Linked DNA regions of Stegostoma tigrinum. The protein of the gene in region 3 purifies or fractionates together with the protein of the main gene of each other region. This does not show direct contact. Links are inferred from orthologs where the notes say so. Each region holds a gene or a part of one and is shown on either strand. Other genes may lie near its edges.

Evidence for each region.
Region 1: the proteins of polr2g (region 3) and regulation of nuclear pre-mRNA domain-containing protein 2-like purify together in Homo sapiens (affinity purification with mass spectrometry; 3 studies listed by BioGRID and IntAct, counting the BioPlex papers as one, with this or other methods). This does not show direct contact. The link is inferred for Stegostoma tigrinum from reciprocal best matches to the Homo sapiens genes POLR2G and RPRD2.
Region 2: the proteins of polr2g (region 3) and gtf2b purify together in Homo sapiens (affinity purification with mass spectrometry; 3 studies listed by BioGRID and IntAct, with this or other methods). This does not show direct contact. The link is inferred for Stegostoma tigrinum from reciprocal best matches to the Homo sapiens genes POLR2G and GTF2B.
Region 4: the proteins of polr2g (region 3) and gpn3 purify together in Homo sapiens (affinity purification with mass spectrometry; 3 studies listed by BioGRID and IntAct, counting the BioPlex papers as one, with this or other methods). This does not show direct contact. The link is inferred for Stegostoma tigrinum from reciprocal best matches to the Homo sapiens genes POLR2G and GPN3.

The regions. Positions count from the first base shown.
Region 1 is NC_081400.1:2,610,802-2,618,121, forward strand, and holds the start of regulation of nuclear pre-mRNA domain-containing protein 2-like, read left to right. Parts: upstream 1-4,306; 5' UTR 4,307-4,799; coding exon 4,800-5,073; intron 5,074-7,320.
Region 2 is NC_081361.1:89,377,440-89,384,604, forward strand, and holds the start of gtf2b (transcription initiation factor IIB), read left to right. Parts: upstream 1-4,153; 5' UTR 4,154-4,247; coding exon 4,248-4,267; intron 4,268-7,165. UniProt on the Homo sapiens protein: General transcription factor that plays a role in transcription initiation by RNA polymerase II (Pol II). Involved in the pre-initiation complex (PIC) formation and Pol II recruitment at promoter DNA.
Region 3 is NC_081395.1:6,055,794-6,062,811, reverse strand, and holds the start of polr2g (DNA-directed RNA polymerase II subunit RPB7), read right to left. Parts: upstream 3,025-7,018; 5' UTR 2,833-3,024; coding exon 2,821-2,832; intron 1-2,820. UniProt on the Homo sapiens protein: Core component of RNA polymerase II (Pol II), a DNA-dependent RNA polymerase which synthesizes mRNA precursors and many functional non-coding RNAs using the four ribonucleoside triphosphates as substrates.
Region 4 is NC_081379.1:24,206,139-24,213,352, reverse strand, and holds the start of gpn3 (GPN-loop GTPase 3), read right to left. Parts: upstream 3,016-7,214; 5' UTR 2,870-3,015; coding exon 2,822-2,869; intron 1,184-2,821; coding exon 1,075-1,183; intron 1-1,074. UniProt on the Homo sapiens protein: Small GTPase required for proper localization of RNA polymerase II (RNAPII). May act at an RNAP assembly step prior to nuclear import.

The DNA.
Region 1 (7,320 bases), on a different chromosome or scaffold from region 3:
GGTTAAGAGGTGAATGCTCACTGCAGTGGAGTGACCCTGACTTGGCCACAGAGAGGTGGGTTGGAATCTCTCTGGTCTGAAGGCTGGATTGCCCCTGGTTTGGAGGATAGCCCAGTGTGGTCAGGATTTTTACTGCACTTTGTACTTGAGCCTGAGGATATTGTGAGAGCTCTCTGTGCTGCAGTGGTCCTGTTTCTGATGCTGAGGTTAAGACAGATTGTTTCTTTGTGTAGCAGAGCTTTACTCTGAAGCTAACTCTGTGCTGTCCCTGTCCTAGGAGTGATTGATGGAGGCAGACAGTGTAGAAGGAGTTTTAATCGTTATCTAACCCCCTGCTGTAACAGCTCTGAGATGATGCAATGCTGACTCCGGGGAGTGATGTCTAATGTGCGAAATTGTCCCACTTCTGCCATGTCCTGAACTTGACACTCTGACAACTGCTGGCATTCCTTGACATATCTCAAGGTGACCGTCTCATTCTACCCTTATGTCCTGTGCTCAACCTGAATAATCTCCCATTAACAGCTGATTGTTACCTTTCAAGTGAGAACCTCAAAGAGTGTGTTAACAGCCTGTAAAAAGAAGAGAAGCTGCTCAGATACGATTTCAGTGCTGTAGAGGGTTACAGCTTGGAGTTTCATAATAAAGACTAATTATTTTTTTTCTAAAGTGTCAGTGCAGTGTTCTGAAGTTTGTGTCCTTGGCAGCAGTGTAGCACAGTTGCCTCTTGATGTGATTTATCGTAGTCACGTGTACCTCAGTACATTGAAAAGTGTTGTTTAATGAGCAGTACAGGCCGATCACAGCAAACAAGGACATACAAATCATAGTGTGCTTAGACAGAGCAAGGCATACAAGGTTATGACTTCACAGGAGGTGCACAAAAATCAGCATTAGCAAGATCAACATTATTTGAAATTAGAAAGGTCCATTAAGCAGTCTAATAACAACAGAGAAGATGCTTCTGTACCTTCTGCCTGATGGAAGATATTGGAAGAGAGCATTAATGGTGTGGGAGGGCTTTGATGATATGGGCTGCCTTTCCAAGGCAACGAGAAGTGTTAAGTGGAGTCCATGGATTGGAGGATGGCTTCCATGACGCTGTCACCATTTATCCTTGTTTTACAGTACACCCAAACAGCTTCACTTCTGTCTGGGCGGCCTCTTGTCAGTGGAGTCAATGTCTTCTTACCATAGGAAAGCGAAGAGGTCATTTGTTGCTGGAGCCTCATCACCCCCAATCCTGTTGCACTGGATCATGACTGACCTGTAACTCAAGCCCATTCACCCTGTTCAGATGGCTTTACTTGGCAGCAACCCATCCACGGTGGCCTGCGCCACCGAGCAGCAAGATTCCAGGTTTGATCTTCATGCTGCATGAGTTGGGGCCTAGCTAGGTTGCCAGCATTCATAGGTGAGGCAAGACAACAACACATTGAAGTGGGTGGTAAGATTTGGATAGACCAGGTGGACCAGAACAAATTAACCTACAAAACAAATACCAGTGCCCATTGGAAATTATGCAGATCAACTTAACGATGCTTTCTTCTGTTAGATTGTAGTTTGAGCCAACTAAGAACTGTGTTTCCTTGGCAATTGTCAAGCTAACAGCTGCCGCTCCCTGAATTGCGTTCCAAAGGTACCACCTGATCATCATCCATGCCCCAGTGTGTCGCTCTTTTTTTGCCGTAGATTCATACAGTATGGAAACAGACTCGTTCGTTCATGCTGACCATAAATCCAAACTAAACTAGTCCCACCTGCCTGCTCCTAGCCTATATCCCTCCAAACCTTTTCATGTGCTTAGTCTTTTAAACATTGTAACTGTGTCCATGTCTGCCTCTTCCTCTGGAAGCTCATTGTATATGTGAACCATTCTCTTTGTTTAAAAAAACAAATGCCCCTCATGTCTTTCCAAATCGTCGTCCTCCTCACACTTAAAATATGCCGCCTAGCCTTGAAATCTTGTTCACATCATGTCAGTTGGTAGCAGCCCCATCATTCAAGTTTGATGCTTGTGGGCTCAAAGCTGACTGGGCATTTATAAGTGATAAAATACTAAGTGAGCAGTGCACTGTTTGAGCACTGATAGAATCCACACAGTGTAGGAGCAGGCCATTTGATCCATGGAGTTTATACCGTTCCTCTGAAGAGCATCCCACCCAAACCTATTCCCCTATCCTATAACACTGCATTTCCCATGGCCAATCCACCCTAATCTGCACATCTTTTGACTGTGGAAGGAAGCGGGAGCACCTGTTGGAAACCCCCGCAGACAGCGGGGAGAATGTACTAACTCCACGCAGGCAGTCACCAGAGGCTGGAACCCAACATGGGCCCCTGGTTCTATGAGGGGACAGTTCTGACCACTGAACAACTGTTCCACCTTGGTGGAGGGGTGCACTGTTAGAGGTTCAGTTGTGAGGGAGTGTAGCATTATTGTACGTTTGTACCGTCAGTGCTGTGGGTGCACTGCACTGTTTGGAGGCTCAGTGCTGTGGGTTGTCACACTGCCAGAGCATCAGTGTTGAGGGAGCGGGCAATGATAGGGCGTCAGTGCTGAGGGTTTGGCACTCTGAGTTACCCCATGGTGGGGTCTCGTCATGCAGATGATTGGCTGACTGTTTTGAGCACTGCCTTATTTTGGAGAAGAGCAGGTAAGTTCTTCATGGTATCCTGGCATGATAGTTAAAAGCACATTCCAATACTTCAGCCAATTACTTGCTTATTTAGAGATAATGGGAACTCTGTGTGTGTGTGTAGAAAGAAATCTACCCGAAATAAACATTCGGTCCGCCTCCCCCTCTCTCCCTATTTATTCCAGTTCCCTCTCCCCATCCTCCTCTCTGATGAAGGGTCTAGGCCCGAAACGTCAGCTTTTGTGCTCCTGAGATGCTGCTTGGCTTACTTGCTTATTTAACCATGTTTTGGGAAAATGGTGTTTGAAAACTGCCACACTTGGTGCATTGCAACTGTGACTTTGGGATGGTTAAAACACCCAGTGTTTCAAGTCACGTGTGGAAAGGAATAATGATAAAATCGAGGGTTACAGGGACAGGATGGTGGGATGATCTTTGGAGCCAGTGCAGACTTGATGGACTGAATGGCCTCTTTGCTCACCAGGGAGTCAATGATAATGGGAACTGCAGATGCTGGAGAATCCAAGATAATAAAATGTGAGGCTGGATGAACACAGCAGGCCAAGCAGTATCTCAGGAGCACAAAAGCTGACATTTCGGGCCTAGACCCTGCATCAGAGAGGGGGATGGGGTGAGGGTTTTGGAATAAATAGGGAGAGAGGGGGAGGCGGTCCGAAGATGGAGAAAAGAAGATAGGTGAGGAGGTAGGGAGGGGATAGGTCAGTCCAGGGAAGACGGACAGGTCAAGGAGGTGGGATGAGGTTAGTAGGTAGGAGATGGAGGTGCGGCTTGGGGTGGGAGGAAGAACAGGTTAGGGAGGCAGAGACAGGCTGGGCTGGTTTTGGGATGCAGTGGGTGGGGGGGAAGAGCTGGGCTGGTTGTGTGGTGCAGTGGGGGGTGGGGATGAACTGGGCTGGTTTTGGGATGCGGTGGGGGAAGGGGAGATTTTGAAGCTGGTGAAGTCCACATTGATACCATATGGCTGCAGGGTTCCCAGGCGGAATATGAGTTGCTGTTCCTGCAACCTTCGGGTGGCATCATTGTGGCAGTGCAGGAGGCCCATGATGGACATGTCATCTAAAGAATGGGAGCGGGAGTGGAAATGGTTATTCGACTTAGGGAAAGAAGGCGTGTTCTGACGAAAAGGTGTGGAGGTGTGTTGAGAAGGGGGCGTGTTCCGAAGGGGAAGGGGCGGGGCCTTTCGGAAGGGAAATGATTGGGGAGTTGTTGAAAAGGAGGCGTGTCCTAGTGGCAAGGTGGTGTGCTCTGAAGTGTTGTGCGGAGTCCGCGGGTAGGGGGAGGGGTCTGTTGTAAAGTGGGCGTGTTCTGTGGGATAGTACGCAAAGGCGGCTCTGGGGAAAGGGGCGTGTTCTCCGTGCAATGGACGGAATCTGACGGCAAATGGGCGGGACCTGAAGGTTAGCGACCGGGCAGCAAACAAGGGGAATGGATCTGAAACAAATGGGTGGAGCCTGAGCGCAAACGGGCGCGGCTTGAGGAATGTGGGCGGGGTCTTAGGGTCGGGGGAGGAGCCTGAGGAAGAGTCGGCTGAAACGGGCGTGGTGTCGACGTCTGCGCCTGCGCGCTGAGGGTGGAGGCGGGGCCGAACCGCCCACTTAACGGTCTCGTACCCCCGCCCCCTCCCGTCGCCTTCGCGATAAGGGGTGCAGGGGACGAAAAGGAAGAACCCCGTTTGCAATCGGGGAGATTTTTTTCCACTTTTCGGTGGTGGGAAAGAGAAGCTTGGTTGGGCGGGTGTTTGCCAGCACTTTACCTTCCTCCCCCTCCCTCATAACCCCCGTTCCGTCCTGTCCAAATCAAAGCGGAGGTGAGGACAGTAGAGAAAGTGAAGCGATCGAGAGAGAAAGTAACCGTCGTCTCTCGGCTGGTGGTGGGGGAGGGGAGGTCACGTGGGCCGGACGACAGGCCGCGCACGCTCCGTCGCAAAGGAGATCACGTGCTCTCGCTCGGTGCGCCGTCATCACCACCCCCCATCCCCACGAACAGCGTCGTGCGTGTGCCCCCCTCCCTCCGCCTCCCCGTTCCCCTTTTGGCGTCGCCTGTGCGTGCGCGCAGTCGCGTCTTGCGTCGCCGCGCACGTCACCTGCTTCGGTGGGGGCGGGGCAAACAGCGAGGGAGAGCGAGAGCGGAGGGAGCAAGATGGCGGCTGTCGCAGCAGCAGCAGCGGGAGGGCCGGCCGTGGCCGCTTCTTCTTCTTCTTCAGCAGCATCGTCTTCGTCGTCATCATCCACTACCTCCACCATTCCCAGCGGCTCGTCTTCCTCCCTGGCAGCTCTGGAGGCTGCGCTGGAGAAGAAGCTGCTGACGGTCACCAACACGATGGACGGCATCCAGGGCCTGTCGTCCTGGATCCTGGACAACAAGAAACACTACAGCTCCATCGTCAAGCACTGGATGAAGTGCATGAGGAAATGTGAGTGGCCTTGCTGGACATGCTGTCTACCTGCGCAGGGGCTCGTTGTCTTCTGTCACAAGCAGCGCCCATTTGTCCAGCCCAGCAAACTTTTATTTTTTTTTGCAATCCTCATTGGCGAGCATCTATCACGCTTGGGAGCAAGTGTTTTTATGGTATTCCATTCCTCTCCCAAATCCCCTTCCTCTCGCACTCCCCATCCCAGCCCCCAGTCAGTTTTTATTGCCCCTCAGCCACACAGTGACAATAAACCTAATTCTAATACTTCGCTCTGACTTGTAATTATTGCCCCCATTCAATTACTGCACCCACCCCCATTTAGTAATACACTCTCAAATTCAGTTATTATGCCTCCTTGTTTAGCTATTATGCTGCCAGAACCCCCCGCACACCAGTATGTGACCTCCCCAACCTGTTTCCCTCCTGCCTGATTACTCCCCTCCCTCTGAACCAGTGGTTATTTGCCCCCCCTCCCCATTACAGAGGTTATTCTTCACCCTGAACCAGTGGTTATTTGCCCCCCCTCCCCATTACAATGGTTATTCTTCACCCTGCCCCCCCCCTAACCAGTGGTTATTTGCCCCCCCCCATTACAGAGGTTATTCTTCACCCTGAACCAGTGGTTATTTGCCCCCCCCCCACCCCCCATTACAGAGGTTATTCTTCACCCTGAACCAGTGGTTATTTGCCCCCCCCACCCCCCATTACAGTGGTTATTCTTAACGCTGCCCCCCCCAACCAGTGGTTATTTGCCCCCCCCTCCACATCAAAATAGTTTGCAATTCTTACCACATCCACTCCTGAATTTAATAATCTGATTTCTGTAAGTACAGGCCAAAAGTACTTACCAGCCTATTCAAACCTACCTGAATTGATTTTGGGATGTTTGAGCTCTGGTCTCCCTGTTCCGTCCCCATTCTTCGCTCCACTCTCGGGCTTATTAAGTGGATGTGAAGGGACAGGTCAGGTTGAAAGACATCTCAATTTTCAGGAGTTATTTGAATTCTGCAATATTGATCATGTATGATGATATCGCGGGTGGTTAGCACTTCATGAAACTTTGTGTAGCTGTGTTTCAAGAAGGATGTGTCCTTGGTGTGCACAGGGTGAATAAATTGCAGTGGAAACAGTGCTTAGTAAGAAATCTGTTTCTGTGCTGGGATGTGCAGAACTCTCACTACAATGAGCACACTTGCAGTGTTGTTAGTTTGTAAACTGACTTGTGTTGCACAAGTACTTGCTGCCAAATAAGCTGTTTCTCAAGTTTTACAAGTTATATTGTTTTCTCCCTTTATATGAATTGTGTGTTGTGTTCTGTGAATATTGTGAGGCTGATCAACTCTAAGATGAAACTTGGAACTGTGGATGCTGAAGATCTGACAGAAAAACAAATTGGTGGAGCAACTCAGGCCTGGCAGTATAAGTGGAGAGGAAAAAATAGTTAGCGTTTTGAGTCCAGTTCTGAGGAACGGTCATTGGACCCAAAACGTCAACTGCGTTTTCTCCCCATGGATATGCCAGACGTACTGAGTTTCTCCTGCAATTTGCGTTTTGTTTTGTACTAGATGTACCAGGCTTGTGAAGTTGTGTGGGCGGGATGTCCTGTCGTTTATTTAACCGGGCATCACTGGCGCGTGACTTTAATGGTTTTGCTTTGTTGTTATGGCTGCAAGAGACCTGCATGTTGAGGGTTAAAAGCATTAAACCAGTTCAAAAGCACCTTCTAAGCTGTGCTCATGCTGCTATAAAATGATTTGCATGTTTGTAGGTTAGGGTGACATGTCCTCTGAGTCCCTATTCCCCGTGCAAGGTAGGCTAACCTTTTCGCTGCAACTTCAGACAGAGCAGCTCGATCTGATGTTACTCGTGTAGTATGTCAATCTTTCATGTACCTAGCCACACTGCAATTGAGGTGTTTTTAGCAGCTCTAGGCTGATTCTGTAATCTATCTTCGTTTCTTCAGAAGCAGCCCCATGTCAAAGACCGCAAGCTGCACACCCAGTTGAGAGTAGATGAAAACAGTTGAAGCTAAGATTTAAGGAAAACACAATGTGTTGTGAAACATTTGTGCTGGTGCCCTCTTTGGCACTTCGGAAACACCTGGTTTTAAAGTTGAAGAGTTGGTTGAAATTCACCTTTGGAGAGCACGTTTTGAGCTGGACCACCGGCACCGCTGGTGATGATGGGTGCGACTTGAGTTGAAAGAAGTTACTGTTCCATTGGTTTGATGTGTTACCAATGTGCTAC
Region 2 (7,165 bases), on a different chromosome or scaffold from region 3:
AGTCAAAACTGATGGTGTAAAACATTAATATCTCTCCTGTCTCCTGAGGTTCAACACAAAGATGACCCCTGCTCTCTCTCTAGCTGCTCTCTTCCTTATAGCATCGCTTTGTATTATCCTTCACCTTATCTGCCAAGACTTATCTCAATATCCCCTCTTTGCCTTCCTGATCTTGAGATTGCTGCTATACTGTTCAATATTCACTTGAGCCCAGTTGCCTATATGTAATTTGTTTCCTTTCTTGACTAGAACCTCAATATCTTTAGTCATCCATTGTTCCCTCGTCCTGCCAGTGTTACCTTAACTTAACCGGAGCATCATAACTCTGCACTGTTGTTTTCAAACTTTTGAAAGCTGCTCAGTTGCCAGTCGTCCCTTTACAGTCGGCTCTGCTATAACAACATGTTTCTTCAATGCAAATTGGCTTTAACATTAGATTAGATTAGGTTACCTACGGTTTGGAAACAGGCCCTTTAGCCCAACAAGTCCACACTGCCCCTTGAAGCATCCCACCCAGAGCAATCCCCCTATAACCCCCACACCCCTGAACACTACGGGCAATTTAGCATGGCCAGTCCACCTAGCCTGCACATCTTTGGACTGTGGGAGGAAACCGGAGCACCTGGAGGAAACCCGCGCAGACACAGGGAGAATGTGCAAACTTTACACAGGCAGTCGCCCGAGGCTGGAATCGAACCCGGGTCCTTGGTGCTGTGAGGCTACAGTGCTAACCACTGAGCCACCGTGATTGAAGAATTTAAACTGCTATTTGTAGTATGCAACCTTTCTTTACCTGCATTGGCTATAATGCGATTCTGGCCCCATTAGTTTAAGTGGTGTGGCTACTGCACCATTTTCTTATAATGCAGGATTGCATGAGAATGGATCTAACGTGTTACATCAGAACTGACAGTCCCTGTGAATAATCTTCTCCAACCAACTTTTGAAATTTCCTGTCTCATGCCATTAAAATTTGCTTACTCCAGTTGAAAACTTGAACATTTATGGGAAGCTTCTCCTTTTCCATAACTACTTTAAAACTAATTGAGTCATTAGGTAATAAAATGTGAGGCTGGATGAACACAGCAGGCCAAGCAGCATCTCAGGAGCACAAAAGCTGACGTTTCGGGCCTAGACCCTTCATCAGAGAGGGGGATGGGGTGAGGCTTCTGGAATAAATAGGGAGAGAGGGGGAGGTGGACCGAAGATGGAGAAAAGAAGATAGGTGGAGAGAGTATAGGTGGGGAGGTAGGGAGGGGATAGGTCAGTCCAGTGAAGACAGACAGGTCAAGGAGGTGGGATGAGGTTAGTAGGTAGGAGATGGGGGTGCGGCTTGGGGTGGGAGGAAGGGATGGGTGGGAGGAAGAGCAGGTTAGGGAGGCAGAGACAGGTTGGACTGGTTTGGGGATGCAGTGGGTGGAGGGGAAGAGCTGGGCTGGTTGTGTGGTGCAGTGGGGGGAGGGGACGAACTGGGCTGGTTTAGGGATGCGGTGGGGGAAGGGGAGATTTTGAAGCTCAAGAAGTCCATATTGATACCATTAGGCTGCAGGGTTCCCAGGCGGAATATGAGTTGCTGTTCCTGCAACCTTCGGGTGGCATCATTGTGGCACTGCAGGAGGCCCATGATGGACATGTCATCTAAAGAAATGGTTACCATTTCCACTCCCCCCTCCATTCTTTACAACCCTGCAGCCTAATGGTATCAATGTGGACTTCTTGAGCTTCAAAATCTCCCCTTCCCCCACCGCATCCCTAAACCAGCCCAGTTCGTCCCCTCCCCCCACTGCACCACACAACCAGCCCAGCTCTTCCCCTCCACCCACTGCATCCCCAAACCAGTCCAACCTGTCTCTGCCTCCCTAACCTGCTCTTCCTCCCACCCATCCCTTCCTCGCACCCCCATCTCCTACCTACTAACCTCATCCCACCTCCTTGACCTGTCTGTCTTCACTGGACTGACCTATCCCCTCCCTACCTCCCCACCTATACTCTCTCCACCTATCTTCTTTTCTCTCCATCTTCAGTCCACCTCCCCCTCTCTCCCTATTTATTCCAGAACCCTCTCCCCATCCCCGTCTCTGATGAAGGTTCTAGGCCTGAAACGTCAGCTTTTGTGCTCCTGAGATGCTGCTTGGCCTGCTGTGTTCATCCAGCCTCACATTTTGTTGTCTTGGATTCTCCAGCATCTGCAGTTCCCATTATCTCTGTGTCATTAGGTGTATGGTTGGGAATCACTGCAGGTCAGGCAGCATCTGAGCAGCCGGAAAGTCATTGATTTATGTCCTTTACCTTTTTATTTCTTTGTTCATACAAGCTTGTCAATATGACTAATCAGAAGTTACTACTTTTGAGGTTCTGTTTTTTTAATGTTCTATTTAACCTGTCTTGCACCTTCCTCAGTCCTGTCAAAGGGTTTTGGCCTGAAACGTTGACTTTCTTGCTCCTCAGATGCTACCTGACCTTCGAATTAGAACCCCTACAGTGTGGAAACAGGCTCTTCAGCTCAACAAGTCCACCCAGAACTTCAGAACATCCCACCCAGACCCATCCCCTGTAATCCACCTATTCTACATTTCCCTGAACACTATGGGCAATTTTGCATGGCTAATCCACCTACCCTGCACATCTTTGGACTTACAATGCTTTTCAAACCTTTCATCTATAGACTGTGGCTCCCAGTCTACAGGCCTTATTGTGTCCATTTCATTAGAGAAATATCAACTTGCATTTTCACTAGAAGATTTTTCAGAAATATCTTTTCTAGTTGTGGTAGTAATATTCTCCTTAATCAAAAAAGCCAGATTCCCCCCCCTTCCACCTCCCTTGCTACATCTCATCTAGCATCTGAAACTCGGAGCATGGAGTTGCTTGTCCCTCAGCCATTTCATAATAGCTGTTACATCACAATCCTACGTTCCTTAACGTGTCCTCAGTTTGTTAACCTTATCTTTAAGACCCATTGCACTGAAATTTAATGCAGTTTAATTCTTCAGAGCTACTTCATTCTTTGGGGTTTTACTGTCTTTTCTAATTGTTCTTTTCAGATTCAGAACCATCTTTCTGTTGATCCGTTACTTAAGATCCCTCTATCCCTCTAATAGTTTACAGTTTCCCTTAATAGACATAGTAAATCTCTCCACAAGGATATTGATCCCTTTCCGGTTCAGGTGATACCCATTCTTTTTGAACAGGTCTTCTCTGCACAAGAGGAAGTCCGCGATGTTCCAAGAACCTCGATCCTTGAATATTACATCACTTTTTCAGCCATTGATTTATGTCCTATATCCTTTTATTTCTTCCTTCATACAAACTTGTTAATGGAATTAAATTGGAGGGTACTGCTTTTGAGGTTCAGTTTTTTAAATGTTCTATCTAACCTCTTATATTCAGTCTGTAAAGCCTTAATCTTTTCCTTAACTATGTCATTCCTACGAATGTGTACATTAACTTCCAGCTTCTCACTGACCCTTTTAACAGTATGCTTTAAACATTTTGAGAAGCCCTTAATCCTTGCTCTAGGAGAAACAACATCTTATCCTAGATTCGTGCTCGCTGACACAGAATCTCTGTGTTTGGAGGTGTGGGGAGGTGGAGGTTGGAACGAAGAATAAAAATGGTGAACTGACAGTAGCGTGGATCTTGTAGCTGCTCCTGAGTTTGCAAACTTTCTTTTAGGTTTCTTATAGTATACTATTGAAATGTAGTAAAAATTTTTATTTTGAGTTATGTTGGTTCTTTTGTAGTCAAAAATCCAAAAAGCAAACACTTTTTTTTCCAAATAGTGTTTGCTGAGCTTTCGGAGAAGCTTTTGAATGGATAGCTCAAGTATTTTTTTAAAAATTATACGCTAAAAAAGTTATACATGTAGGAAAGATTCTTTTAAAACATTGCTGAAGAGATTTATTTAAATCACGGAGGAGGATTTTTTAAAAACAATTGTGTTTTTAGAGCTTTCAGAAAGACCTACAAGTTGATGGCTCTGGGGTGAGTTTTTTAATCAATGGATTGAAAGCTGTCTGCTAGACTACCTGAGGAGGAGTTTTTAATTTGATTGTTCAGCTAAGTGGTTGATTTTATTTAAGATTAAATGTTTGATTTTCTCTTTTTTTTGCATGCTTAGTATTCTTTGGGAAAATATAAGGTACTGTTGAAAGCTGCTTTTTAAGCTTGATGACATTGAGGGCATACAAGAGACAGATGCCTAGTAGATTTACAGAAGTGATTTCACAGCAGGATCGGTCAGATAGATGGGTGACTGTCAAGAAAGGTAAGAAGTCTGTTCAGACGTCTCCTGTGGCAATTTCTCTCTCAAACAGATAATTCAGTTTTGGGTACTGTGGGTGGATAGTCTCGGGAAAATAAAAGGTGGTCAGATCTTGGGTACTAGGGATGAATCTTGTAATAGGCGGGGTGTGACAATTTAAAAGAATAATTGCTATAGGAGACTGTTATTTGTTGAATACGGTACGGGGATTGGCTGCCAGGATTTGGAAAAGAGCTTGAATTTTTATTAAAAGGCTGGAGATATGGTTGGTACCAGTGATGTGTGAATTTTGATGGGCCATTTTGTCCTATTCTTTTTTGTATGTTTGTAATTTGGTTTAGGTTGACAAGGTGGAAATCTATAATGGCACGCTTTCAGCCTATGAACCAGAAATGTCATGCTTTGAATCTCAAATGTGCTGAGGTATTTTACTTCTCTTGGTTTAACTCCATCCTGAGCATCTGTGTAGTGCTGATGTGATTCTTATTCAGTAGAGGCAAAAGTAGTACTTAGAAGCCTACTGTTGGTAATGTGTATGTGTTCACTTGCAGAGTTTACCTGACATTTTCTTGTATCAAGTTGTTACAGTCCCATCTGATATAGCTGAAACAGTGCTCTTGCTTTAAGCACTGATTATAGTGCAAACTAAGTTTAAACTTGACACTGTGCCTGTGTCAAAATTCAGAGTGGGTTTGCTTCTGCAGTAAACTAAATTTGTTTTTTCATGCTTGGAAGGATAGTAGAGATGAGTAAACTCTTACCTTTTTAAAAAAAAAATTGGATGCACACTTGAAGCATTGTAATTTTCAAAGCTGTGGGCCTAGTGTGGGACAGTGGGGTTAGTGTAGATAGTGTATTTCAGGTGGTACAGACATGATGGGCCAAAGCGCCTCATCTGTAAAATTTCCCATAATACTCCAACATAATCACTGCAGTGATTTATAATGTGCTAGTGTGATTTTTCTTTTTTAATCTATTCCTCTTGTATGAGTTCAATTAATCATACTTTTTCAACCACTTTTATGGGTTTATTCAATTCGGCACCAAGGTGTCTCGCTGGTCATTGATTTTCAAAATCTTGTAATTTACTCTGTCCATTGATCAGTGTGCAACAGTTCACCTTCATGTTTAACTTACTTGGCCATACGTCTGTCCATTTTACCATCCTATCTTGATGGAGACTGCCACTGGTTTCACTGCCGTCTACTACTTTGCCACATTTTGCATCCACTGCATGTTTTATGATGCTACTCCCTAATCTTAGTCCGGGCAACTTATGTTAAAAGAAAACAAGAGGAAGGTCTGGTACACGTTTGTTTGGCACATTTGCCTTCCATCTTTGAAGCAGTAACACCTGCTGTAGACAGCAGGAACATTGAATGTGTTGTAATTGTCCTTCCAAGAGGCATTTGATAAGTTTATTAAGGAGGTGCAGACTGTGAATAACTTACTTTCTTGAATCCATCTACATATCTATTTGTGTACGTTGGTACACAATGCAGGGCAATATCAATAACTCATAAATATGAGGAGGCATTCGTATGTCAGATCTTTAAAATCATTGCTAGTATACCCCTGTATGGGATCGCACTTGTTACTATGAATGTTCAAAAATCAGGGATTGTGTAGATGATAACATTGGTAAGCATAGAACATGGGCTGGCTAACAAGTGAGCAGTAAGAGCTGATAGGTCTTTTTCAAACTGGCAGGATGTCATGTGTGTACCACAGTTTGGTGCTGTGGGCTTAACTCTTTACAATTGATGAAATGCTTTCGATAAAGGGACTGCAGGTGTAGTAACTGAATTTGAAGATACTAGTGGGAGAATCTAGAACAAGAAGTCAGGGTTTAAAAGTAAGAGGTTGCCTGCTTAAGACAGCAGAGAAAACACTATTTTCAAAATCCCTGAGGGTTAAACCTTCGCAATTCCTTTCGAGTGAATGCAGAATCTTTACCTGTGTACCAAAGATATTTAGGTAGGTTTTTGCTTACAAGGGATTGAAAGTTTATCTGGGATATGCGGGAAGTTAGAGTTGAGATTATAAACCGATTCGTCGTGATTTTATTGAATGGCAGACCAGGTCCGAAGGGCTGAATGCACTGTTCTTGTTCCTTGTTAATGTGTTCATAACAAATTTGTGCTGGCTGAGCTTGATTAGCGCACACCTTTTTGAATGAAAGCTTATTTTGTCAAATAACAAACCTATTTCCTGGCTTAATCCTCTCCCTCCTTTTGAATACTGAGTTTAATATTAATAATCCTACAGTTCCCCCACAACTGTATCTAATGCAGATTGAAAAATTGTGACTGTCTCTGCTATTTCTATTGTTGCTTCTTTCAACAATGCCATCTGCATTCTACTCGGACCAGGTGACTTAACTACCTTTACGGAATGATAATTTTTAAGAACATATTTTCTCTCTACAAGGCTTTTTGCAGCTTTCTTATTGTCTGCTTTCTTAGAAGACAGATGCAAAGTACTAATTTATTACTATGGCTGTGCCTTGTGGCTCTCCATGAAGGATGTTTTGGTCCTTACTAAGTCATAAGTATGTGTTTAAACTTGCATTTTAAAATATTTTAAGCTTCAACTTAATATTGCCATAACATTTGTAGTGATCATTCCTTCCCACCTTGCCCTAACTCTCTCAATGTTTCTCCTGTATTTTCTGCAGTCTTCATGGCTATCTTCTGAATGATACTTCTGACAAACAATAAGCACATTTTTAAAGCCCTTTCATAAGCACCAGACATCCCAAAGCAGTCTGCAGCCAATGAAGTTTTTTCGAAACTTTAAAAAAAATGAGTGTAGTAACTGTTATAACGTAGGAAACATGGCAGCAAATTTGTGCCTGAGAAACCTAAGAAACAGGAATATGATAATGATATTGGTTGAGCA
Region 3 (7,018 bases):
GAAATTGTGAAGACATTAGAAGACGTATGGGATAGAGTCATACGGCATAGAAAAATACCTTTCGGTACAACTAGTCCACGTCAACCATGTTCTCAAACTAAACTAGTCTCACTCGCCTGTGTTTGACCCATAGTCTCTCCAATTCCAAATCTAATGCTGACCTCGCTGTGCGCATCCTGTGCGGATGTAACCTGTATGCCTCCATCTCTGTAGGCGCCCCCTGATCCGTACGTCCTTGTTTTCTACGATCCACCTGTACTGCTCATAAAACTTTTCACTGTACTTAGGTATGTGTGGCAACAATAAATCAAATCAAACCTTCCTCCAAACCTTTCCGAGACTCTTAGATGGCGACGGGGTGAGGAACTTTCAGTTTTGTGGATAGGTTACAGAAGTTGGGTCTGTTGTCATTAGCTGGAACAGGTCTACTGCATCTCAAACTTTGAGACAGTTTTTACACCACAGAAAAGGCCCATTATGGCCACACACACTAGTCAAACAGCTACTTCCTCCAATTCGACTTCCCAGCTAGTGGCCAGTATGCTGTGACTTTTCAAGTGCTCATCCAAATACTTCTTAAATGTCTTGAGGGTTTCTCCCTCTACCTCCTTTTAGGCAGCAACTTCTGGAGAACCACTACATTTTGGGTGGGAATTCCTTTACATTCCGCTTGGGAACCCTGCAGCCCAATCGTATCAATGTGGACTTCACCAGCTTCAAAATCTCCCCTTCCCCCACCGCATCCCACAATCAGCCCCCACCTGCAGTTATTGGCCCCTCTGAACAGAAAAGCCTTCGTTCATAACTCAAAATCGGCAATAACCTTACTGGGCCACAGGTCTGCTCTCTCATTAGGGAGAGGATTAGGTTTAAGAATAACCCAAGGACCTCACAGAAATGCAGGTGCGGCTTGAGGTGGGAAGAGGCGATAGGTGAGAGGAAGAACAGGTTAGGGATGCGGGGACGAGCTGGGCTGGTTTTGGGATGCAGTGGCGGGGAGGGGAGATTTTGAAGCTAGTGAAATCCACATTGATACCATTGGGCTGCAAGGTTCCCAAGCCAGTGACCCAAGTTTGATTCTAGCCTCAGGTGATGGTGTGTTTGGAGTGCGCATGGGTTTCCTGCAGGTGCTCCAGTTTCCTCCCACACAGTCCAAAGATGTGCAAGTGAGGGTAGACTGGCTGTGCTAAATTGCAACACAGTGTCCAGGATAGGTGGGTTAGCCTTGGAAAATGCAGGAGTTACAGGGATAGGGTAGGAGAGATGGCGAGGGGGGGGGGGGGGGGCGTGAGAGAGAGAGAGAGAGAGAGAGAGAGAGAGAGAGAGAGAGAGAGAGAGAGAGAGAGAGAGAGAGAGAGAGAGAGAGAGAGAGAGAGAGAGAGAGAGAGTGAGAGAGAAAATGCTCTTCAGAGGGTTAGTGTAGACTCAATGGGCCGAATGGCCTGCTTTCACACTGTAAAAGGTGTCTGTGATCTTCCATGGTAACCTCAGCTGATGTGGGGACTGAACCTGCACTGCTGACATCATTGTGCATGGCAAGACAGTCACCTGGCTAACTGAGCTAACACATCCTACTTTTGTTTCAGATTTCCAACAGCTGCAGAACTTTAGATAACAAAGTGTGGGGCTGGATGAACACAGCAGGCCAAGCAGCATCTCAGGAGCACAAAAGCTGATGTTTCGGGCCTAGACCCTTATACTGCATCCGCTGTACACAGTGTGGCTTCCTCTACATTGGGGAAACCAAGCAGAGGCTTGGGGACCGCTTTGCAGAACACCTCCGCTCGGTTCGCAATAAACAACTGCACCTCCCAGTCGCAAACCATTTCCACTCCCCCTCCCATTCTTTAGATGACATGTCCATCATGGGCCTCCTGCACTGCCACAATGATGCCACCCGAAGGTTGCAGAAACAGCAACTCACATTCCACTTGGGAACCCTGCAGCCTAATGGTATCAATGTGGACTTCACCAGCTTCAAAATCTCCCCTTCCCCCACCGCATCCCACAACCAGCCCACTTCTTCCCCTCTCCCCACTGCACCACACAACCAGCCCAGCTCTTCCCCCCCCACCCACTGCACCACACAACCAGCCCAGCTCTTCCCCCCCCACCCACTGCACCACACAACCAGCCCAGCTCTTCCCCCCCCACCCACTGCACCACACAACCAGTACAACCTGTCTCTGCCTCCCTAACCGGTTCTTCCTCTCATCTATCCCCTCCTCCACCCCAAGCCGCACCTCCATTTCCCACCTACTAACCTCATCCCACCTCCTTGACCTGTCCGACCTATCCCCTCCCCACCTATGCTCTCCTCTCCACCTATCTTCTCCTCTATCCATCTTCGTCCACCTCCCCCTCTCTCCCTATTTATTCCAGCTCCCTCTCCCCATCACCCTCTCTGATGAAGGGTCTAGGCCCGAAACGTCAGCTTTTGTGCGCCTAAGATGCTGCTTGGCCTGCTGTGTTCATCCAGCCTCACATTTCATTATCTTGGATTCTCCAGCATCTGCAAGTCCCATCATCTCTGAGCTGCACAACTTTGCTTCTTTGAATGGACAATGAAACACACCTTCCGCCTACGCCCCCTCCTCACCATTTGCTGAAACAGCCATCAATATGAGCAGGCCTCCGCCCACCACGGCGCCTATAGGTCGGGGTGCGTGTCAATCACAATGACGACGCGCATCAACACGTGATTGCACGCTGGCGCGTTAGCGGCCGCAGCGTCATCTGCCCTGCCCCCACCCTAACCGCTCGGTTGTCACCGTCTTGCCCTCCCGATCCGCGCGACACGGGCCAAAATGTGCCACTCACATGATAGAACATCGCCGCGACAATTTAAACGTTCTCTAAAGAGGGGGCGAAGTGGTGTGTGTGAAGTAACTTCTCTCAACCCGGAAAGAGCCAACCGTCCACGCACTAGCCGGCCGCGGTTCTGAACGGCGATTTGGTAGCTGAAGCGGCGTGCTTGGGGGGGGCAAGAGGCGGTCGGCGACGTGGTGGTCACGTGCCAACTGACGCCGAGAGCGTCACGCGCCTTATGCCCGCCCTCCTTGCCACGTGACCCTCCACGCATTTTCCGTACGTCGTCCGTTGGGATGGGCGGGCGCCATTTTCCTCCCTCAACCCGAGGAGGCGACGAGACCCTCTCCGGTCCGCACCCAAATATGATCTCCGTCTCCTGTCAGGATAATTGCTTGCCACCCGTCTTCATGTCCACCGTCAACATACACATAGAATTTAAGAACTAGGAGTAGGCCTTGTGAACTGCCACGCCATGGAAGCTGACCTCAATCCCAAGGCTCAACGTCCATTTGGTTGCTCTGTTTTGCCATAATCCTTCAACCTGTTAAACGGTTGAAAACCCGTCCGTGTCCGCCATAAATATACTCAATGCCCCAGTGTCTTTGCGCAAATGAAGTTTTAGTTTGGAGAATTATGCTGCATGGAACTCTAAATGTCCAAGAATAGTTAGAGGATGAATAAAAGACTTCAAGTATCTATCCATTTTTTTTGTACATATGGCATGTACCCTATTGCATGCTTATCTTGTGGAGAGTCATGGAATTCTTCTTACATTGCAGAAAGAAGCTGTTCATAAATTAGAATCCCTATAATGTGGAAACAGGCTATACAGCCCATCAAGTCCACGCTGTTACTCTGGAGAGCATCCCACCTAGTCTCTCCAGTCGACCCCCTCAACTCCACATTTCCCGCGGCGAAGCCACCCTGCCTGCCCAGCTCTGAATAAAATTGGTCAATTTGGCATAGCCAGTCCACTCTAATCTGCACATCTTTGTCCTGTGGAAGGAAAACAGAAGGAAGCACCCAGAAGAAACCCCTGCGCAGACACGTGGAAATTACACACACAGACAAGTCACCTGAGGGTGGAATCGAAACTGGGTTCCTGGCATCCTAAGGCAGCAGGTCTGCCTCAAACCAGTACTGGTGTCCGCACCAATAACGGAAAATCTAGTTGCTACTCAAATTTCATTTCCTGGCATTTGGTCCACAGCCTTAGACCATAGGTCCTAGGAGCAGAGGCATGGCTCTTCAGGCTATCGTGTCAGTGAGATCACAGCTCATCTGATAACCTTCAACTTAGTTTTCCTGTTTTTTTCCCATTTCTGTTCATTTCCCATACTGATTAAAAATATATCTATCTCGGTCTTGATCCAACATCTACAGCCCTCTAATGAGTTCTACAAATTCATTGCCCTCAGAAGAAACTCCTCGTCATCTCTGTCTTAACTGGCCGACCCCTTACTCTGAGATTATGTCCTATGGTCCTAGACTCTCCCACAAGGGGAAAACAGCCTCTTCGCATCCACCCTGACAAGTAACCTAAGAATCTTCTATGTTTCAATAAGGCCATCTGCATTCAACTAAGTCCAATGAGTATGAGCCCAATGTCTCAACTTCTTGTAGGATAATTCCTCTGTACTCGTGGTCAACCTAGTGAAAATTGTCTGGACTGCTTCCAATGCTAGAATATGTTTAATTAGGTAAGGGGACCAAAACTTTTGCAGTATTCTAGCTGTGTGCTATAGAGTTGCGTGCTGTGTCATCAAATGTTCATTTGAACTGTTCTTAAATGTCTTGACAGGTACTGCCTATATCACTCTTTTAGGTGATAATGGGAGCTGCAGATGCTGGAGAATCCAAGATCGGCCTAGACCCGAAAGCTTTTGTGCTCCTGAGATGCTGCTTGGCCTGCTGTGTTCATCCAGCTTCACACTTTATTATCACTCTTTTAGGTAATGAGTTCCAGATACCCACCACATACTGGGTGAACAAAAAAAGCCCTTAAATCTCCTCTAAAATTTGTGCTCCTTACCTTAAAACTGTGCACCCTGCTTATTGACATCTCTATGAAGGGAAATTAGTCTCAGTGTGTACTCTCTACGTCAGTCATAATTTTGTACCCCTCATTTACGCCTCCCCTCAACCATCTGTGCTGTAAGAAAAACAATTCTATTCTACTTAGTTTCTCCTCACAGCTGAATCTCACCAGATCAGGCAATATTCTGGTGAATCTCCTGGAGAAATTAAGAAAACTAGTCTTTTCACCATCTGCAAGTCAGCAATGTCATAGAATATCCTCCACTTACCTGGATTGAGATGGGGCTAACAACACTGAAGCAGCTGGACACCATCCAGGACAAAACAAATGCAAACTACTGTGGATATTGGAGATCTGAAATGAAAACAAAGTGCTGGATAAACTTAGCAGGTCTGACAGCCTCTGTAAAGAGAGAAATAGAATGAACATGCCAAATCCAGTGTGATTCTTCCTTTTGAAATGCTTTCTCAGCAACCCATCCCACCACCTTCGACATCGCATCACTGGCTCCTTCAGCACAATCCAAAATTGCAACTTTTACCACTGAGAAGAACAAAGGCAGTAGGTGCATGAGAAGTCACCTCGTGCAAGTTTCTGCCCAAGCCACATCACCATCCTGAATTGGAACTAAATCGTTATTCCTTCATTGTTGTTGGATAAAAATATGAAATATCCTCCCAACCATCACTGTTGGTGCAACACACCACACAGACTGCAGCAATTCAAGAGGGTAGCTCACATCCCATCATCTACAGAGACATTTAGAGATGAGAGATATGCTTGATGTCCATATCTGTTGAACAAATGCAAAATAAAACATCTAGAAACCACATAGATGAAAACAGAAGTTGTTGGAATAGCTCAGCAGGTCTGGCAGCATCTTGTGACGAAAAAAATCAGAAGTTTGGACCCTCTGAAGAAGGGACATTGGACCCAAAACATTAAACATGTTTGTTTCTTCAGAGATGCTGCCAGACCTGCTGAGCTTTTCAAGCAATTTATGTTTTTGTTCCTGGTTTACCGTATCCACAATTCTTTCTGTTTTTATTCAGAAACTCCATGGCTCAGGTTTTAACATAAATGGAAATGACTGAAATCTTTTAGAGGAAAGATTATTAGTGGTCTAGGGAAGTAAATTACTTATATCAGCAAATCTGGCACCAGGCTGTTGTCATCATGATCTGATTCTACTTAAACCACCAGCAGTTCAGGAAGGCAATATACATATTGAAAACAAAAACCCTCAGCCAAGCCAAGGTAAGAAGTCAATCTGCACTACAATACTTCTCAGCCCACTGAAACCAATTAAAAAGATTGGAAGGACCATGCTATTTTACTTGTAGTATTTCATCTGCCTTTTATAAGACCTTGAAGTTAAAAGACAGAGGGTGGTGGAGGGTTATATTTCAGACTGCAGGCTTGTGACCGCCGGTGTGCCACAAAGATTGTGCTGGGTCCACTGCTTTCCATCATTATATAAATAATTTGGATGCAAACAAACGAGATATGGTTACTAAGTTTGCAGTTGACATCAAAATTGGAGGTGTAATGGACAGTGAAGAAGTTACCTAAGAGTACAATGGGATCTTGATCAGATGGACTAATGGACCAAGGATTGACAGATGGAGTTTAATTTAGATAAATGTGAGGTGCTGCATTTTGGAAAGGCAAATCAGGGCAGACTTAAACATTTAATGGTAAGGTGCAAGGGAGAGTTGCTGAACAAGGACACCTTGGAGTACTGGTTTATAGTTCCTTGGAAGTGGACTGGCAGTTAGGATAGTGAAGAAGGTGCTTGGTATGCCTGCCTTTATTGGTCACTGTATTGAATATAGGAGTTGGGATATCATGTGGCTGTGCAGGACGTTGGTTAGGTCACTTTTAGCATTCCCTTTACTGCATTCAATTTTGGTCTCCCTGCTATAGGCGGGAAGTTGTGAAACTTGAAAGGGTTCAGAAAAGATCTATAAGGATGTTCGCAGATTTGGGGGGTTTGAGCTATTGGGAGAGGCTGAATAGGCTGGGGTTATTTTCCCTGAAGCATTGAAGGCCGAGGAGTTACCTTATAGAGGTTTATAAAATCTTGAGGGGCATGGATACGGTAAATAGCCAAGGTCATTTCCTCAGAATAGGTAAGTCCAAAACTAGAGGGCATAGGTTTAAGGTGAG
Region 4 (7,214 bases), on a different chromosome or scaffold from region 3:
ACATTTCTCAAAATTAGTAGGGCTGATACTTTTTTTGCAAGCAGCTCAGCATTTTCAGTTTTCATTCAATTATCTAGTAAGACCCTGTGAAGATAGGGATAATTATCTGCTTTTTATTCATTCGTGGTATGTAGGCAATGGTGGCTAGGTCAGCATTTATTGCATATCCCCAGTTGCCTAACAAAGGTAGTGGCGAGTTGCTTTCTTCAAAAGCTGCAGTCTTTCAGGTGTGCAGACATTCATAGCACTGTTAGGAGGGGATCTCCAGAATTATGAACTGGTTAAATGAAGGAGTAGTGATATATTTCTTAGTCAGGAAGGTGTGTACCTTAGAACTTGGAAGTGGAGAGATCTCCATGCATCTGATTCCCTGTCCTTTCCAACTTGTAGAGTTTGAAGGTTTGGAAGATGTTGTTGAAGAAGCCTTGGTGAATTACAGCATCTTGTAGATGGTATCGTGTTGCCATTGTGCATCAGTGGTGAAGGAAGTAAATGGGTGAGCTGCCAATCAAGCCAGCTAATTTGTCCTGGACGGTGTCAAGCTTAACTGCTATTTCACTTACACCCAAGTTTTACAACACAGTTCTGTCTTGTTTCCCTAATGCATGCCCATCATCTACAGGGGTTGAGTCACTCATCAAAACATTCCTAGTATCTGACCTATTCTCGTAACTACTGAATTTATTTGGCTGGTTCAGCTCAGTTTCTGGTCAGTGACAAACCCTAAAATGTTCACTGTGGAAGATTCAGCAATTCACGATTAAATAGCAAGGGGTGATTGTTAGATTCTTTGTTACTGGAGATGGTCATTGCCTGGCATTCATGTGACATGAATGTCACTCGCCACATAGGAGTCCAAGCTGGGATATTTTCTAATCTTATTGAAAATGGACACTGGTTACTTCAGTATCTGAGCTTAATTTTATGTGATCATATACGAATATCCCCGTTTCTACCCCAATAATGTGCAAAGCGCATACAGTCTTCACATACTTTAGCTGGAAAAGCAAATTTCAAAACATCATATTTTGCTTAAGTTTTCAAGATGAATTGCAAAGTCATTAGTCAACTCACCTGCCAACACAGGATAGTCAAAGTATTCTGCAGCAGGGTCAAGGTTCACCACCTGCACAGATCGATTCAACACCTCACAGTGCTGCTGCATCGTGGAACAGTAAGTACTCTGAAATTAAAAGTGACAAATCCACCTTCAAATTGCATGTAAAATATATAAAATGAAAGAACTCAAAATCTCAAGTATCTTTCTTTTATAACTTAATTCTAGCTTGGTAACTAGAAATTTGTAAACTCTTTAACAAGAATATGTAAATCGTAGAATCACGGAATCCCTATGGTTTGGAAGCAGGTAATTTGGCCCATCGAGTCCACACTGACCTTCTGAAGAACATCCCACCCAGATGCAGCCCCCCTCTCTATCCCTGTAACTGCATTTCCCTCAGCTAATCCAACTAGCCTACACATCCCTTAACACTATGGGCGATTTTCCATGGCCAATCCAGCAAAGCTGCGCATCTTTGGACTGTGGCACAAAACTGGAACACCCAGTGAAAACCCACGCAGACACGAGGAAAATGTGCAAACTCCACACAGACAGTCAGCTGAGGCTGGAATCAAACGCATGTCCCTGGCACCGTGAGGCATCAGTGCCAACCACTAAGCCACCATGCTTCATTTCACAGATGAATCTAGTAATGTTCATCAGTCTACATATATTTAGAGGTTTGGTTTAGTAACGAACTTTGATTGCTTCAAAAAGATCAGACAGTATCATTTTACCAATCTAACGATAGTTACTTCCAAAACCTACCATATAATCTTTTGCAGTCACAAAGCATAAAGAACACAGAAGCATATTGTAAAACAATTCCATCAGGAGGTTCAAATTATTTTGTCCCAAATTGTTGTATAAATCATAAAAACAAAATCCAAAATAAGATTATTGTAATCACCAACACTTTTATAACCAAAAATATTGGGTTTTTTAAGTATTTGTACCAAGGATCAATTAAAACAACACAGCCAAAGAAGTTGGCACAATGATTTACTAGATATAATTTTCTTTAAGTCTGTTGACCAATAAAATTCATGAACTGCATTAAAATAGCCTTTCCCCATTAAAGAAGACATATAAATCAGAGTTAGAACACCAGCAATGGAAAGCTATTATTCTGAGGGCAGCCTGGACAGATCAGAATTAATTCTATGGGAGAGAGAGTAGGATTCAACACTTTCAAAACAAAAAAAAATTATGACCCATAAACAGACATGGTTGCTGCCTTAGGTGCTAATCAAGGCTCATCACTTTCAAATTATCAATTAAAGTGTATACAAGGGTGAAAAAAAAAGATTCCTAACAGCATTGTTGGAAGCATGGAATGTTTGAATACAAAGCTACAGCGAATAGCAAATTTTAATCAAAAATTGATAAATATTTGAAGTAGAGAGAAATGTGGAGTTTAGAGAGAGGGTGCAACGTGGTGGAATTACTCAAAACATGTCAAAAGGGGTACAAACTTTCATAGCTCTAGTTACAGGTTTTGTGAAAACTTCTTTAGTCTCATGACAAATAAACACATTTACAACGAATTAAGACCATTGTACGAATAAGCGTACAATATTATGATAACAATCTTTAATATTGCGGGAGGTTCCCTGACAGTATTACAGCTAATGATTATCAAAAAATCAAGGAGTCTGTTTTGGCCAATCCCTTTACGGCATAATTTTCATATTTTTCACACCAGTGCGCTAAATAAAAGCACGCTCTTGTTATTGCCGAGATCGAAATGCCGTTAAATACCTTCCCGCTGCCGGCAGGCCCCATCACAAGTTGAGCGAAACGAGGCATCTCTCCTGCCACCTTTACCCATAAACTACATAGATAGAGATCCGGGTACCCACACCGAAGGGTCTAGACCCGAAACATCAGCCTTCCGGCTCCTCGGCCTACTGCGTGCATCCAGCCCTACACCTTGTTCGCCCACATCTACTACTTTCTGGTTACGGAAGCCCCTTTGGAATTAGGTTACGCTCCTCCCGAAACGCGCATTTCGAAATGTTCACATGAAGCTCGTTTTTCTAACACTTAGAGTTAATATCGTCCCTTTAACTTGGTAACATTTTCTTTTCAATCCTAAACACTAATTCTTTTATTAAGGAAATGACATAGGTTCCTTTATAAAGCATGTTTTACCTTAGTTTAAATTAAACGCTCTTCAGCCGTCTTGAATTCATGATTTAAAATTAGAATACATAAGGAAAACCCGAAGGAAACAGTTTATGACTGCTAACTCGTACTCCAATTTACCTGACTTTTAGACTAAGATTTATAGAAAGCACAGAGCAAGTTCCAATACTTCACAGTAAAATTAGACAAAATAGGAACAGGATAGGCCGTTCAGTCCCTTGAGCCAACTTTTGCCATTCAGTAGGATCACAGCTGATAAAAACGCTCTTAATTTCCAGTCTCCTGCCATTTAGCATAAAACCTTGATTCCTCTGCTGATCAAAAATCAATCTATCCCAACCTTAAATATATACGAGAACTCTGTACCCTGGCAAGACGTTTCATTAGTTCACAACCTATATGAAATTCCTCCTCACCCCGAATGCCAAGGCTATGACCTCTGGTCTTAGACTCTCTCATGAGGGGAAACATCAATTGTTATTTATTGTAAGTAATTAGATTACAGCTACAAAGAGAAAAAGGTTGGCATTTAACACCACTCACTAAAATTCTTATCCCCATTTGAACTCTCCTTTATACACACACATAGACAAACAAATAGGGAAAAGATTATTGGAGGAGTTGGAAGAAAACTGGAAAATCAGTTCAGTAGTTTCTGCTTCTTGATTCCAGTGTTGAGATTATCCTACTTTGTCTTTATCTAAAAGCTTCCATTGGTTTGTAAAGAGTGTAGAGTGACTGATTCAGTTAGAAAATGTCTGATTTATCAGTTCAAAAGTCACAGATGACAGCAACTGCTACAGGATAGGTAACTGCTTTTCCTCAATTTAAAACCAACTTTTTTTCTACTGCAGAGAACAGGCAGCTTCTGGTGGGAAGAACAACAACACATTTTCTGTGGTCAGAGACAGTAAGAACTGCCAATGCTGAAGTCTGAGATAACACAATGTGGAGCTGAAGGAACACAGCAGGCCAGGCAGCATTAGAGGAACAGGAAAGCTCCCAATGGTCTCAATATGGACTTTACTAGCTTACTATGGTTTTATTCTCTCTAATTTTCACTCTCTGTGGTATTCTTCTCAGTGTGTCTGTCGCTGTTACTTTTCTCCAGTTCCAACCTGCTCATTTGGCTGATAACCTATCAGCTTTGTAAACAACTCCTCAGTTCTTTGTCACCTCCAAATTGCAGGAACTCAAAGCCACATAAATACACAGCATTTACAATGAGAATTCCATTTCATGCTGTGAAATCATGCAACTATGGTGGCAAATCCCTGTTTCTAAAAACAGTACTTCCTCATTGCAGTCCACAATTTATAAAGACACAAAAATAAAAAGATTGATTCTTGTAGTATTTACATGGATAGAGTTTATAGTGTCTTCTTGAGGTTTAACTAGATGCTTTGTTACTCCAGCTCTAATGCAAAATGTTAAATCTCACTGAAATTTGTTGAAGGCATGCATTCTGCATCTCAAATCAAAATAACACACTTCATGAAGACTGTGAACCTTTAAAGAAACATATTTATGAAGAGCTTTATTTCATTCACTATAAACGTTGAAGATATCGACAGCATTTTCGTTATTGTGTGAAGTTAAAAAAAAGCAGAAGAAATAATATCTTTCGTTGGAAATTGATCTTCAACCTTTCAACTCACAATAGCTTCTAATTGTTCTGATAGATGAGTGATCAGCAAGGAGTGCACACAGATTTTGTTATCTCATACAATATGTTAAACCAAATCTTGATTTTCAGATGCAATAATAAACATGATAGCAAGGTTTTAAACAAGTAGATCAAGTCAAGGGATTGTAACTACAATTACTGCCTAATGCTGAAATTATCACTGGGTAATATTACAAAAGTGGCTATTATCTGTTTAAAGAATTCACTTATTAACATATAAAATATGAGTAGCTGCTGATTGGAGAATATATACTACAAATCAAGTTTACAAATGGCTATGGTGCTCAGATTTTAGTATTTTGTTTTATGACTTGTATGGAATAATTCAATTCATATGTTCATAATAATGTTCTTCAAAACTTTTAATATGCAATTCTTAAGTTTTGTCATATATTTAACTAAACAATTAAACCAAAACTCAAAGCTATTCATATTAGCTGGTCTTGCAGGACTGGAGGGCATAGATTTAAGGTTTAGAGAAATAGATGCAGGGGGATATGATGAAGAATTTTTGTGGAGCCAGTGATAATAATGTGGAACTTGCTGCCTACAACAGTAGTGGAAGTGGAGACAATTAACTGTATTAAAAGGAAATTAGATGGCCCTTTAAGAAAATAAACTTGCAGGACTATACGGCAAATGCAACAAGGGAATAAAACTGATCAGATTCCCCCAATCAGAGCTGGCATGAAGCTGATAGTTGAAATTGCATCCTTCTAGACTGTAATTATTTTTATGACTGTATTCATTTTCAGATAAGTTTGTTTTTATTCATTTCTGGGATGTGGCCATCACTGGCAGGCCAGCACTTATTGCTCATGGATGTGAGTTTGCTCGCTGAGCTGGAAGGTTCGTTTTCAGACGTTTCGTCACCATACTAGGTAACATCATCAGTGAGCCTCCGACGAAGCACTGGTGTTATGTCCTGCTTTCTATTTATCTGGTTAGGTTTCCTTGGGTTGGTGATGTCATTTCCTGCGTTGGTGATGTCATTTCCTGTTCTTTTTCTCAGGGGATGGTAGATTGGCTCCAAATCAATGTGTTTGTTGATGGAGTTCCAGTTGGAATGCCATGCTTCTAGGAATTCTCGTGTGTGTCTCTGTTTGGTTGAACACATTTTCTGTTGATATTCATGAAGAGAAATAAAATTTGAATTGTTATAAGTACCAATTAATATTATTCTTGCGCTATTCCTGGATAAATTCAAAGTGTTTTTATTCTTAAGTGCCATACTGAGTTCACAACCAATAATAAATTTTGGTTGCCCAAGTAACAATATATCCAGCAAGTATCTCTAATGGTTAGGCCTAATTAATTTTTACACCAACAACAGAATAAAACTAGCAAAATCTCACAAAATAATTGCCAGTGCCATGTTTATACCAATCAAGATTTCACAACTACTTAACTAAGTATTCAGCTATCACCTTTTCAAAACAATGCCTTTCTTACCTGACCATAGTATAAAGATTTTTTAAAAAACTTTCTTCTCCAGTTAGGACCGATGCTGACTTACATGCATTGGACATCAGAGGTCTTCCAGTTTCTCAATGATGTGACTGCTTTTGTGCAATTGCACAAGAAGCAATGGCTGACTTCAAACATTAAAGACATCCCACCCAAGGACTGATCCTGTTGTTGTCTGACATTTACATACATGCATCTTCCAAATCTAAATGAACAGCAATAGGAAGCAAAAACAAGATTTATATTGCAACAAGAATGGATTTTTTTTGTAGTGTAGGACTTGTATGTTTGGCATGCATATTGCTTAAAGGTGGACATAGTGGTAATTCTAAGATGAGTTCGACATAACACTATAAGAAATAGGAAGAGAAGTAGACTATAAGCCCTTTGAGCCTGCTTTGCTATTTGATAGCATTATGACTTATCCAGTATTCCTCATATCCAATTGCTGCCTTCTCCCCATTCCCCTTGATTCCTCTACTGATCAAAAATCTTTCTCAGTCTTAAATATGAATAACTCTGTCTCTACCACTCTTTGTGGCAAGAAATACCAAAGTCTCACAAGAAGAAATCCCTCCTCATCTCGGTCTTACACTGGTGTCTCTTAATTCTGATACTGTGCCCCTATGGTCCTAGACTCCCCACGAGGAGAAACACCCTCTGATCATCAATCCTGTCAAACACCTTAAGAATCAGCTGTCAGTCAGCTAAGAGCTAAGGCTGGAAGTCAGAAACCGCTGTCTCTTCCAAATAAGGCATATATTTGGATGAAACATTCAGGTTTGCTCACATGCATGGATAATTCCAAATAAGGCATACAGTTGGCACAGAGACTTGTATATAAAGACCCAG